Linked DNA regions of Drosophila melanogaster. Changing the gene in region 1 together with any one later gene gives a genetic interaction. Each region holds a gene or a part of one and is shown in the gene's direction. Other genes may lie near its edges.

The links. A genetic interaction does not mean that the proteins touch.
Region 2: of KdelR (region 1) and Manf, changing one suppresses a phenotype caused by changing the other (phenotypic suppression), as found in Drosophila melanogaster (one study listed by BioGRID).

Annotation. Positions count from the first base shown.
Region 1 is NT_033779.5:10,423,122-10,430,098, forward strand, and holds KdelR (KDEL receptor), read left to right. Parts: upstream 1-3,765; 5' UTR 3,766-3,887; exon of another isoform or gene 3,888-3,954; 5' UTR 3,955-4,049; coding exon 4,050-4,688; 3' UTR 4,689-5,511; downstream 5,512-6,977. Other genes in the region: Wdfy2 (WD repeat and FYVE domain containing 2), read left to right, coding at 399-559, 630-977, 1,250-1,362, 1,423-1,549, 1,613-1,809, 1,871-2,151; small ribonucleoprotein particle protein SmB, read right to left, coding at 2,407-3,003, 3,373-3,375; CG5188 (uncharacterized protein), read left to right, coding at 5,727-5,809, 5,865-6,538, 6,594-6,790; Bug22 (basal body up regulated gene 22), read right to left, coding at 6,938-6,977. UniProt on the Drosophila melanogaster protein: Required for the retention of luminal endoplasmic reticulum proteins. Determines the specificity of the luminal ER protein retention system. Also required for normal vesicular traffic through the Golgi.
Region 2 is NT_033777.3:16,345,778-16,352,419, forward strand, and holds Manf (mesencephalic astrocyte-derived neurotrophic factor), read left to right. Parts: upstream 1-3,626; 5' UTR 3,627-3,733; coding exon 3,734-3,821; intron 3,822-3,897; coding exon 3,898-4,022; intron 4,023-4,108; coding exon 4,109-4,250; intron 4,251-4,639; coding exon 4,640-4,806; 3' UTR 4,807-5,024; downstream 5,025-6,642. Other genes in the region: CG14879 (uncharacterized protein), read right to left, coding at 1,316-1,751, 3,004-3,107; CG10311 (uncharacterized protein), read right to left, coding at 5,353-5,453, 6,101-6,254, 6,312-6,554. UniProt on the Drosophila melanogaster protein: Required during the maturation of the embryonic nervous system for maintenance of neuronal and cuticular connectivity. Essential for maintenance of dopaminergic neurons and dopamine levels.

The DNA of each region.
Region 1 (6,977 bases):
AATGCTCGTTTGTATGTTTATAAAATGTGGTGCGTGCATATGCATACATAATGCTGCGACACATCACACGAAATACCTTCAGTATTTTTAATAGCAAAATAATATACAATAATACGCAAAAACTATATCTAACAATTAAGATTCTATTTTCATTTCATCGATTCCACTATTCCGCAGCATTCCTAAACTTGGCGTCGCTATCTAGACGAGCTTTCCAACAACAAAGTTCAGTATATTTAATGTTAAACAAAATAACACAGTTTTGTTAATTGATTGTGAATCACGTATCTCCATTCACCTTCCCCAGTCCGAGAATCGGATTGTTTATAACCGCATTATCATCGAGTGCGTTAAATAGGGCGTAGGCGTACCATCGGACTGGATCCACCTTAAATAATATGGCTGCCGAGATAAAACCAGCTCAGCGGACCAACAATGATCGCTTTAACACCTCCAAAAAGCCGGAATTGCTGAGTAAGCTGGAGGGCAGCAGCGACGATGTGAACGCAGCGATCCTAATTCCGGGCGAAAACGGCGTAATTAGCGTTTCCGATGACAAGTGCGTAGCTGTAGCCCATTAAAAATATACACAAATGGTATGCCTGACATTTTCATGTTTTCCCCAATAGAACCGTTCGCGTTTGGCTAAAACGCGATTCTGGTCAATATTGGCCTAGCATTTGCCAGTATATGCCTTCCGGCTGCACGGCCATCGAGTACGTTTCGGAATCCCGGCACCTGTACGTCGGCCAGGAAAACGGAACGGTCACCCAGTACGCGCTATCCGAAGACTGCAATCGCCTGTCCTTCCTGCGGGATTACTTGTCCCATCAAGCGCGGGTCATGGCCGTGGTCTTCTCGAAAACCCACAAGTGGATACTCTCCGCCGGCAAAGATAAGCAGTTCGCCTATCATTGCACGGAGAGCGGCAAACGGGTGGGCGGATACAACTTTGAGACACCATGCACGGCTCTCCAGTAAGTATGATAAATGGATGGTGAAAGGGGGAAGGGGGTGCGACAGTGGATATGGGATAAGCGGGTCATTTAATTGGATTAAACTGCTTTCTTTGACACGGCAATAAACTGCAATTCTTCACGGCTATGGAATTCATTTAGAATTTGAGAACCTTCTATTGTTAATGACGTGTCAACTGAGTCATTTTATCTACACAAAATTTTGGCATAAATGTGTGCACTGTGCGAAATATTCTATAAGCAACATATAATTAATTATAATCTGCGTTTAGGTTCGACGCTTTGGCCAAGTATGCCTTTGTGGGCGATCATGCTGGACAGATAACAATGCTAAGGTGCGATGTTCAGGGAGTGCAACTAATTACCACTTTCAATGGACATTCGGGTAAACAAGTTACAAATGATATTTAGTAAGCTAATTATATACGAATTGGTTAATTTTTAGCGGAAATCCGGTGCCTCAAATGGGTGGAAGGCCCTCAGCTCTTGTTTAGCGGAGCTTGCGATCAGTCCGTGCTAGTTTGGGATGTTGGTGGCAAACGTGGCACCATTTACGAGCTGCAGGGACATAGGTATCTCCAATCTTAAATAATATTCATAAAATAAGATAGTAATCGGCACTTCTGATTATGTAGCAACAAAGTTTCCGCCCTGTCGTACGCGAATCACACGCAACAACTGATAAGCTGTGGCGAAGATTCAGTAGTGGTTTTTTGGGAAATGAATGCAATGCGGAAAGAGGTTCCTGGCTGGGTGGATACCAACAACTGTCAGCTTTGCTCCAGGCCCTTCTTCTGGAACTTCCGCTCAATGATGGATCAAAAGCAGCTGGGTGAGATAAATAGCTTACACTTGAGTTACTCTTTGTTTTACAAGTAATTTCTGACTGTCAGGAATACGACAGCATCATTGTCGCCACTGCGGCAAAGCCGTGTGCGACAACTGTTCCACCAATCGCATTAACATACCCATAATGGGCTTCGAGTTTGATGTGCGTACCTGTGATCCGTGCTACAAACAACTTCAGACAGTCGAGCGCCCCTCGCTGGCTTCATTCAATGACGCCAAGCATTCGATCGTCTACATGGACCTGGACGAGGACAGAAAGCGCCTGTTGACAGTGGGCCAGGACAGGCTCATCAAGATCTGGGATCTCTCCAACATCTGGGCATAAAACATCCTGTACGCACACGCACGTACCAAAGGTATAATCATTCACGAGGCGTTTCGGTCTTAACTGGAACACCCAATTAACGAACGATGTGGCTGGCAACGACCAAATCCAGTCCCTGCTGCTTAGGTTCTCATATAATTGATGTAAAGCAATAATCATTGTATGTACGTATGCTTACATTCAACACATAAATACACGAATCCATCGATTAAGTGGTGTTTTCTAAATGAGTTTTTATTAGATTGTACTTTATACTTAATAGCCACCCCTGCCCGGTGGTGGTGCTCCACGGATCATGCTGGGCGGCGGTCCGCGCATCGGTGGCGGAGCACCGCGTCCCATGTTTCCTGGCATCGAGGGCATGCCGCCGGGAATCATGCCCGGTGGCGGTGCACCCATCATCGGTGCTCGTGGCACTCCTCGTCCCATCGGAGCCATGTGCTGTTGGGCGGGTCCGCCCACACCTCTCACGGGACCCTGGAGACCCGCTGGCACGGCGGACAAGTTGATAGGCATTCCGCGTCCGGCCACGCGACCGATTCCCGGACCAGGAGCTGCTCCCGGAATGGGAACTCGGGGCAGGCCCTCCTCTGGCGGCGGTGGTCCCTCCACCGTCAGTGAAACTATGTTCTCGCCGCGCAGCAATACAAAGCCCAGCACGCGCTTCTCCTCGCGCTCGGGCACCTTGGAATTCTTCGAGCGAATCTTCCGGAACTCCTCGCAGTCGCCGAGGATCAAGTTCATGTGTTTGTCGAAGGCTTTGAAGGTACCGATGAAGGTACGCGAGTCCTGCAGCACGATTCGCACCCGATAATTCAGGTGCTGAATCATTTTGTTGTTCTTGCCGATCGTCTGAAATAAAGGAATTCAAAGGATTTAATTGTGAAATACAATAGCATGCATAAAAGTCGCGCCATCTTTTGTAAACCATTTCGACCCTTTAAAAAAGCCGGTATTTATAAAAATTTTAATAAACCACAGAGTTTGAAATAGCAAATCTCAGCGTAATATCGAAGATCACTAAAAATCATAATTTTAAACAAATATAAAATAGTTAATTAGCCAAAACAAATTGTTTTATTTATTCGCATGCATGTTTGTATGTATGTATGCCTATGTAAATACGAAATCGCAACCGCGAAAGTAAGAATCTATGAATTAATACAACTAAACAAAACTTAACCATTGCAGTCAGATGCTTAAAACAGTGTTTTTACTTACCATTTTATTTGATTTCTATGTTAATTCTATCGCTTGTAAATAAAATACAGATGCCGGAACCTCACCACGGCTTTTTTCGATAGGCATGAAGAATAAATCGAGTGGCGTGTGCGGCGGTCAGCATTTTCTGGTGTCTTTCAATCGAGCCTATCGAATATAAATTTTTTATTGATAATCCACATGATTTTTTAAACAAACATTCGACTATCCCTAGCAAAAGAAGAGAAAAAAATTAAATTTTTTTTAAATCTTATGATAAAAAACGAAAAAAGAAAAAATTTGAATCAGTATGTTTTTTCTCAATTTTTTTCGTTAGAGATGGTCGAATTTTCATTAAAAAAATCATGTGGCGGCACTTATCGATATCGATAGGCAGTGGCCATGTTATCAAACTTATTCTTATTCATCAGCCACGTCATTGTTTATGCCGACATTCTGACAAGTTTTTTTCCGAAGCGGCAAAGCCCTCACATCTCTACTCGTTGGCAAATTAGGCGAAAAGTCATTTTGGTAACGTATGCAGCTGTTGAAACACTGAATGCCGCCATTATTGCTATAGTATACACTCCCATTTTCATATAGGCGTGCGTTCCGTGACGCAGCCGCAGCGAAAGGAAGTAGAACAATCAAACAGCCAACCGGGCAGCCAAGTAGCCAAGTCGGCGGATTAGATCACGATGAATATCTTTCGCTTTGCTGGGGATCTGTCGCATGTGTTTGCCATCATAATACTGCTGCTGAAGATATGGAAGACCCGCTCGTGCGCCGGAATATCGGGCAAGTCGCAGATCCTGTTCGCCGTGGTCTATCTGACGCGCTACCTGGATCTGTTCACCACCTACGTGAGCCTGTACAACTCGGTGATGAAGGTGTTGTTCCTGGCCACGTCCGGTGCCACCGTGTATTTGATGTACGTGAAGTTTAAGGCCACCTATGACCACAATCACGATTCGTTCCGCATCGAATTCCTGCTGGTGCCGTGCGCCCTGCTCTCGCTGGTGATCAATCATGAGTTTACCGTGATGGAAGTGCTGTGGACATTCTCGATCTATTTGGAATCGGTGGCCATTCTGCCGCAGCTGTTCCTAGTGAGCAGAACCGGCGAGGCCGAGTCCATCACCAGCCACTACCTCTTCGCCCTGGGATCGTACCGTGCACTCTACTTGCTCAACTGGGTCTACCGGTACATGGTCGAGTCGCACTACGACCTTATCGCGATCTTCGCCGGAGTTGTCCAGACCGTCTTGTACTGCGACTTCTTCTACTTATACATTACCAAAGTTCTTAAGGGCAAGAAGCTCCAGCTGCCGGCATAAGCGGATGATGGATAAGTGCATAGATGTGGGACATTTGTGTTTTGTCGGCACACATCATCAATCGACGTCAGAGTAAACAAGCGAGCGATCCACGGCCCGTTTGACAACGCGTATTTCGTTCATATTATACAAAAGATACATAATCGAGGGGAGCGCCTAAGTTGTAATTATTTAATGAGAAATAAACCGAAAATCGAAAGTACACTATAAACTATGCAATACCGACATCGTACATTGAAAATGTAACAAATGTATTAATCTCCGTTTTCCGAACTGCACTCACAAATTTTAGAATCCAAAAATATTAAAAAAAAAAATCATTACTCCAGTAAGAGATAACGTTAATTGACAAAATCGAAACAAATGTTTTCTCTTTTGCGCGGAGGCTTATCTGATTCGCAATAGTATCACAGAAGAGGTCATAGATTTCTTTGTTTAATTAAGAATTTAAAGTTATGCATTAAATAGCTCTTAAGTCGACTGTATCCTAAAAATCCGAGTAAAGTTAAGTCTTATTGTGTGGCTAATAGTAAAGTAAATGATGAGCGATGTCAACATATAATACACATAATATTCTGAAAAATAGGCCGCAGGATCGTAGGAACTCCATGTGCTGTTTTGCACAACTTCTATTGAATTCCGAAAAGATATATTAAATTTCTGCAACACCCTCGTTTCCCCTTGCACGCTTCGCAGTCATGCCAGATGCAAATGGAAAATTTAATTTATATGGAGATCATGTACGAAACAAATACGAACCTAATGTGGCATAAATAATATTTTAAACACTTTTGCAGATATTATATTATAAACAAAGTACAATAAACAACTCGATTTTCTTTTATTTATTAGATTACAATGCAAAGAGTTAGTAAGGATGTATAAATATATATTACATCTCTATAAATTGTTTAGTTTCCAAAAACTTGAAGCACTGTGCCGTTATCAAAAAAGGGGGAATACCCCTAACACTCGGCTGTTATCTGTAAAAATATTTACAGCACTGCCACACTGCAAAAATGTCATAATCAAAACAAAATGAGAAGAATTGGTCTTTTAAATAGTTTAATGCGCCAGAAAACGACTGCCAGAAACTTGTTTCAGTTCGGCAAAGTTAAGGGGTATGGGCTCCGGCTTATCTCTTTCAGGACTCTATTCTGATGGGTATACTTACAGAGATACTGGCAAATATGAACAGATCGTGTCCACCGGCCAAGTTTCCCCGGAACGTTTTGTGCCCGAGGAGATCAAGAAACCGGCGTACTACTTCAAGAATATGCCACCGGGTAACACGCTGGGATCGCCCGAAATCAAAAGCCAGGTTCAGATTGATGCCATGCGTCTAAGCGGCAGACTGGCGGCCAGGATACTGCGCGAATGCGGTAAACTAGCAACAGTTGGCACAACCACCGATCAGATTGATGCCTTTGCGCATGAAAGAATTCTCGAGTCCAAAGCGTATCCGTCGCCGCTGAGATACGCCGGCTTCCCAAAGTCCATTTGCACGTCGATCAACAATATCGCCTGTCACGGAATTCCGGATGACCGGCAGTTGGCCGATGGGGATATTATAAATATTGATGTCACAGTCTTTTTGAACGGCTACCATGGCGACTGTTCGGAAACATTTCGGGTGGGCAACGTGGACGAACGGGGTGGCTTTCTCGTGGAGGCCACTAAATCCTGTTTGGATCAGTGCATTTCGCTGTGCGGCCCCGGTGTGGAATTCAATGAGATTGGAAAGTTCATAGACAGATATTGCGACGAACATGATCTGGCATCGATAGCTGCTTTCATTGGACATGGAATCGGTAGCTATTTCCACGGCCCCCCGGAGATACTACACTATTGTAAGTAAGACTGTTTAAGAGACTCCTCCATTGCTAATCAAACTGCACATCGTAGATAATGAGATTCCTGGAAAGATGCAGCCCGGCATGACCTTCACCATTGAACCCATTCTGTCCCTGGGCGGAGCAGAAATAGCAGTGCTGCAAGATGGCTGGACGGCCATTAGTTTGGATGGCGCACGTAGCGCCCAGTTCGAGCACACCATTCTGATAACCGAGACGGGAACGGAGATACTTACAAGAGATCAATAGAATTTTATGTACATGATGCAATTTTTATTCGTGATTCCCATAAAGTGTTGAATGAGTGCTGGATGGCAGTCTTGTGCATTTTGTGCCGTTTTAATCGTCGACTCCGTCTGGTTAGGTGCTCTAATTGATTGATGATGCATACAGAATTTAGCTACAAATCGCATTGGACTTCTGCACCGGCTTCTGA
Region 2 (6,642 bases), on another chromosome or scaffold:
GGTGAAGAAAATGATTCCATTGCAAAAATAAATATAATGTATAATTTATGGCAAAAAAATTAATGTGTATTTCGTTTGGTATTGCATAGGAGCCTTTAGTTTTGTAGCGCTATAAAGCAGATGGCAGGCCCCAATGTTTACGCAAATATTTTTGGTAAGACTCTTCTCGCTGAAAGTATGAATATCAGACGGTTATTTTATTCCAGGGGTCGGCCAGATTTCTGAAAGATTTTCGAAAGAGCACGTAATTCTAAATCTACCATGCGAACAAACGAAAAACAAATGCAAGCATGTTTCCCATCGGTTTCCGAACAAAAATTTATTAGCATTTAAGAATACCAATTCCAATGAATTTGTGTTTACGCATTTAATTTGTGGAAAACGCACTTGTCATGCGATTTTTAATACTTGGCGTGGTCTGTATACATATGTATGTAGGTATTACAGGTAAAGCTAACACTTACATTGTAGGTTTACAATCTGAATGGAAGACTTTAGCAAGCGCGAAACAGAAACTCAAGGTGTATTATACATAAAATTCTTTGGCCTTACAAATACGTTTGCTATCAACTACAAACAAAGAAACAATTAGCAACTGCAAAGGATAGCAATAGGACATAGCAGAGCTAAAGTGACGTCATAAGACAGATAGCACCGAGGTGAGTGATATGTGACTGACATATATATGTATGTATGTAGTCCGTGAATGTGTGTTTGTTAATGCTGATTTGGTTTATCAAACAATGGAATATTATCAAACTCTTACGGCATCATAAAGATATAAGTGGAAAACGCTGCAATCCAGCAATACTATTGAAAATGATATTGCCTTATGTTGCAAGAAATGGGGCATAAAACCTATTCAAATGCCAATTAAAATTTTGAGTACTTTTAAAATTTTAAACAATTTAACATAGAACGTAAAGAAAACAGGTGTTTCAATTAAATTTTTGAGATTTTTGCAAATAAATAAATATTGGTTTAATACTGTTAAAAAACCACAATCATCTTGATGGGAAAATGTTTCTTAAGCCCACGATCAACAAGAACTTGTAGTCAAATTATAATGATACTCAACGCATTAACAAGCGAAGGAGTGAAAGCGTGTTGCTACTGCAGCGAAGTGATTTAGATGGGTGCGGAATCCAACAAACTAATTAAAACTACAGGTGAGGGGATTAAGGTCGTGCGGTGTTAGGACTAAGGACGCCCGCCACCGAACTTGAATCTATGCGATTGAAGAAAGAATGCATTAAATAAGAGAACATTGCGGGCTACCTTGGGGATCATGGGATCTTTGGGATTCTTCTCCCGATCAGTTGTAGCTTAGGGCAAACTGGTTGACCTTCTGTACATCGCCCCACACCTGTACAGCCTGGATGTCGGACAGGGAGAAGAGAGTCTCGTACTCGGTTATGAAATTGTGGCCCGAATCCCTACCCTGGTACACCCGCATCATTGAATTTGCGTAGTCGAAGGCGAACTCAAGGCAAAAGGAGGACTCTGTGGATGAAAGTTGGAGCGCCTCGTCAATTTCGGTTATAATGCGGGCAAAGCTTTCTGTCATATTGGGGTTCTTATCGCTAGCTCCTGTACCGTCGAAGATGTTCAGGTACTTCTCCTGGTGCAGGCTGCTCCACTCGCCGTTCCGCTTATAATTCTCGATAATCGTCTGTGTGGGAATCACCACCTTGAAGTGGTATGTGATGTTGTCCGTGCAGTCCGGACTGTTGACAAAGTTCACCGAGAATCTGTAGCGGAGGTAAACATACAAATGCTTGTTAAAAAAATCAGATGTATATGTCTCACTTAGGTGCTAATGAACTAGCTACTAGCTAAAAATTAACTTAATACGTGCCTAGCGACATAGTCTTCACTATGCATTTGATCAAAGGCGGTAAATAGCAAAGTGTGAATGAAGTAAATATGATATGCATATTTTATATTCAATAAAATCACAAGCACTAGTAGTACCCTCGCTTAAAGCGATATAACTTATCACATATCAGTGCTAATGACGTCGTTATTTGATTGTTTGACCCCCTCAAGCGCTTAGTCATCAGAATTGTTTAAATGGCACATGCTGGTTCGGTGAGTTTTTTTCTTTCGTTTTTGGGGACCGGAGCTCCCAGACATTAATAGTGAGTGTGAGTAGGCGCGAAAACGTGCAGCGCATTCAAGGAACGGAATTGGAATTTTCAGCGATTTATTGTTAAAAATCCGTTAGTCAAGCTATGGAATTTCCAGTAAGTTATGCCCCTTATCGAAATACAAGAGCTACTAGTGTCACGGAATATTATCATGACACATTTAGGTAGCTATCACTAGAACCTTATCGATCTAAAGAACAGATAAGAAATGTATTGTCTTGATTTATCAATTGCGTTGAAATTGTTCAATTAGAAACCCGGATTCTTGAGTGATGTAACTGATGGTTCTGATTAATGGACATCATTTGACCATTCATTCATAAGCTGATTAACAACTTCCCACCCTCAAGCATACATAATTCATGGTATTATTCTTTGCCATCCAACTGGCTTGTTGTTTTCTTCATAGCCGGCATCTTCAGCGCGTGTCTGATTCAATTTTAGTCTGGTGATGTCATATACGATGGACTTGATACAGTAAAACCAGACGACTACGTATACATCTGGCAGAGATTTCTTTATGGTCCCATCACCACCGCCTTATCGCCCTAATAGATCATAAACTCATAAGAGGTCTTTGGAATTTATAAAAAACAAACATCATCTGGCAGAAGAAGTATAAATTATTTAAATTCATGAGCCCATTTGCATGTTTTTTGTGTGCGCCATAAATTGTTCGCGAGTTTGGTGAGTATTTCGTCTAATCGGGTCACATACGTAAACGATTTTAAGAACACTATATTTATATTTTCAGCACGCAAAGAGGCAATTTCTCCACCTCAGTTCGCGGGAAGTGGCTAATCGATTTTCTTAAAGTTCGCGGAATTTAAACGCGAAATATCAAAGGACTCACTGCTGGGGATCCTGGAGCAGGTTGCCGCTGATGGACAGCCGGGTTACTCGATCCGAGGTACTGGCATTGGTGGGCAGCACGGCAAAGAACTTCACATCAGGCATTTTAAACGATTTATTATAATGGGCTGCTTCTTTTCCGTTTTATTTTTAGCAAGGTGTGTAATTGCAAATTTTATCCGGATAATTGTAAATACGTTTGCTGTGGCAGTTGCCAACGGTTACAATAACTCCAAATAGCCGAGGGAGTAGTGAGCACTTGGACGACTTGGTCAATACTGTTGGCGATTACACAGATACGGTGCTATATTAAGGGACTGGAAGAGGATTAAGTCCAAGACTACGTCACGGGCAACGTGCAGTCGAGCATATTTGCTTAGCTTTAACTAATTTAAATAATTCCACGACGCGCAGTTCCGTTCGCATTCGCGCGTGATTGAAAACTGAGCAGGAGTGCCTCTGCGTAAAACGGAGCAGCTGAGCGATCCCCACACCTGTTAGCCAGTAAATTCCGGACCCCGATAGTATGACCATATCGGTTGTTTTCCAATTTGAAAACGTGGCGCTGCCCCGCCGATAAATGAGTACTTTTATCGATGCCTGACCTATCGGTGAACACCCATATCTACGGCCACCTAACGCTAACAATTCGGGGACAAAATCAAATCGCATGCAAAGAATTCAGTACAGTTAATTAAAGTACGCTCAAGCACAGTCGAAGTAATAACAAAATGAAGACGTGGTACATGGTGGTAGTGATCGGCTTCCTGGCGACGTTGGCCCAAACGTCGCTGGCCCTGAAAGAGGAGGACTGCGAAGGTATGTGATTGGCCACGTAAGTGGTTGAGATGTTCTGGAACAGATTTTCACCGGGCTCCATTCTTTCGTTCCGCAGTTTGCGTCAAGACGGTTAGGCGGTTCGCAGATTCGCTGGACGACTCCACCAAGAAGGACTACAAACAGATCGAAACGGCCTTCAAAAAGTTCTGCAAAGCGCAGAAAAACAAGGAACACAGATTCGTGAGTAGCCGGCAAACAAGTGCCGCCCCCTCTCCCTCACTTCCTATTCTCTGGGAAAAATGATACACGTATGCGTTTCTTCGTAGTGTTACTACCTCGGCGGTCTGGAAGAATCCGCCACGGGCATCCTCAACGAGCTGAGCAAACCCCTCAGTTGGTCCATGCCAGCTGAGAAGATCTGCGAGAAGCTGAAGAAGAAGGACGCACAAATCTGCGACCTTCGCTATGGTAAATATTTTAGTTAGGAACTATACATATATAGGAAGTGTGGGTATACAGAATTCAATATGAAGCACCTAGCATTTCTTGGCAAAAGGAAAGAATTCAGGAATACAATTTCGCATGTATGCTTTACTATTATATCATAGCTTGTTAAATTATTTTGTGGTAACTCGCATAAAATTCTACATTTTATGAGATAGGTCTGTTTGTAAAATGAATGTTAATGGTTTAGATTATTAGAAAACGTTAATCGTCATTTACTAAGAGTCAATTAATCTAGGGTGTCTATTAGAAACAAAAACTCTTAACTTGGCTTAACATTTAGCTTTTCTGTCGCTGCTCTTCGCCTTAATATACTTCTATAAACATTTATTTATGTGGATTGTTCATTGCAGAGAAACAAATCGATCTGAACAGCGTGGACCTGAAGAAGCTGAAGGTACGCGACCTGAAGAAAATCCTCAACGACTGGGACGAGAGCTGTGACGGTTGCCTGGAGAAGGGCGACTTCATCAAGCGTATCGAGGAGCTGAAGCCCAAGTACTCGCGCAGCGAGCTGTAGAGCGCAGTCAGTTACTTGTGTAGTTACATGGAACACGCCCACTTAGCTAAAACAACAACCACATGAAACGCCCCCTACACATCCATATTTTTAGTTAATTTACAATTTTGATAGACTTTGAGAGAATTGAATATAACTATATATGCCTAAAGATAAAACCTATATTTTGAAATAAAAAACAACAAACACACAAGACCTCGTCCTCTCAAACGGTTGATAAATAGTTTGTTTTTATTTTTGTTATTAGTTTTCGGTTTTTGAACTCCTCTTTCACAATTACAAGTATTACGTACAAATTACAACAGAAATTCACATAATATCTGGATTAAAGTTTTATTTAAATGTTAAATACATAATTCCATTGCACTTAATGCCACGGGCCGCGTAAATTCGATGTGAGCGAAGGGCTGGCTCGCCTCAACTAAATTATAATTATTAGTTAGACATAATCACTAAAAACGAACATAGGAAGCTAGGATGAAGATGTGTGGGTGGTGGATTCAGCTTCTTGAATGCAATTTCTGATGAATAGTGCTCCTGGAGATTCTAGCGACGGTACGGCTGCTTGTTGTAACGACCGCGCTCGTTCTCCTCGGACAGGTTGGCGTATTCACTATAGACCACGCACCAGCAATAGGTCATAATCGCTGAAAGATGGAGGAGGAACATTGGGTTAGGGCATGTGCGCGCAAAAGAGTGCTGTCATTTTATATTCTACATGAATTGCATCCGATTTTACACGATGTAATGTAAATTGACTTTTAACTCGTATGTGGTTCATTTTCGGTAAGCACTTAATTTTTATCAAATTTAATATGCAAATTTGTAAAACTTGAAAAATATCATTTTTCAAAAGTAAAAAAAAAGCGAGGAATATATGTATAAACCTGAAGCATTCACAATGTGATTCGGTTCTTTAACTTTTATACCGCTGAATTAATACAATTAAATTTGTTTGATTCATTTAATGAGCTTATTTAACAATCGTATAGCTTTCCCAATAAACTCCTATCAAAGTTCTGCAGCTGACATTTCTACAAATGGCCTCAACAAGCCACTTTGCGCCTCATTTGCTTGCACCACCCGGCAAGTTACCTCCAAAATCCTCTAGTCTGCGGCGCCGGGGCACTTCTGTTTTCAGCACACGGGCAATCATGGCATGATAAATGCGTCTATAAATTAAAAACGGCTCGCAATAACCGTCATCCGGTGCTAAAAACCGCACATGGAGAAGTAGCAAGACCCCCCCCCCCCCCTCACCCATTTTTCACCAACCAAGAGGGAGTGCACTTACCGCAGACAATTAGGCCGAAGATCAGCCAGAGGACTCCCGTCAGCACGTAGCCGTCGATGAAGAAGACGATGCCCGTGTAGATGACGGAGATCAGCAGACCGATGGCAATCATAATGCCGAGGACCACCCATGGAACCATCAGGTAGTGGTTCCGCTGGAACATAGATAGATTTTTATTGTATGCATTTAATTAAATTAGCTGAGTACACACCTTCAGGGCACCAATGATCATGAGCAGCGATATCAAGATCGTCATGCACAAATTGATGACTAGAATTATCTTAACAATGTCATTGGGGATGAAGTCAAAGATTATCGTCTTGAAGTGCACCCGCGTCGTGAAGATCACCACGATGGTGATGATCGACAGGACTATCGCCAGTATGCCCGAGATAACGGAGCCATTCCGGGTCGATTGGCACAGACAGCACGAATTTAACAGTGGCTTCGGCATTTTGGCAAATCTATATTGTGATTACCAGCTGAAAATATTAAGAAACACAATCATCAATTTCAAGTACCATTTTGAACACATATAACTT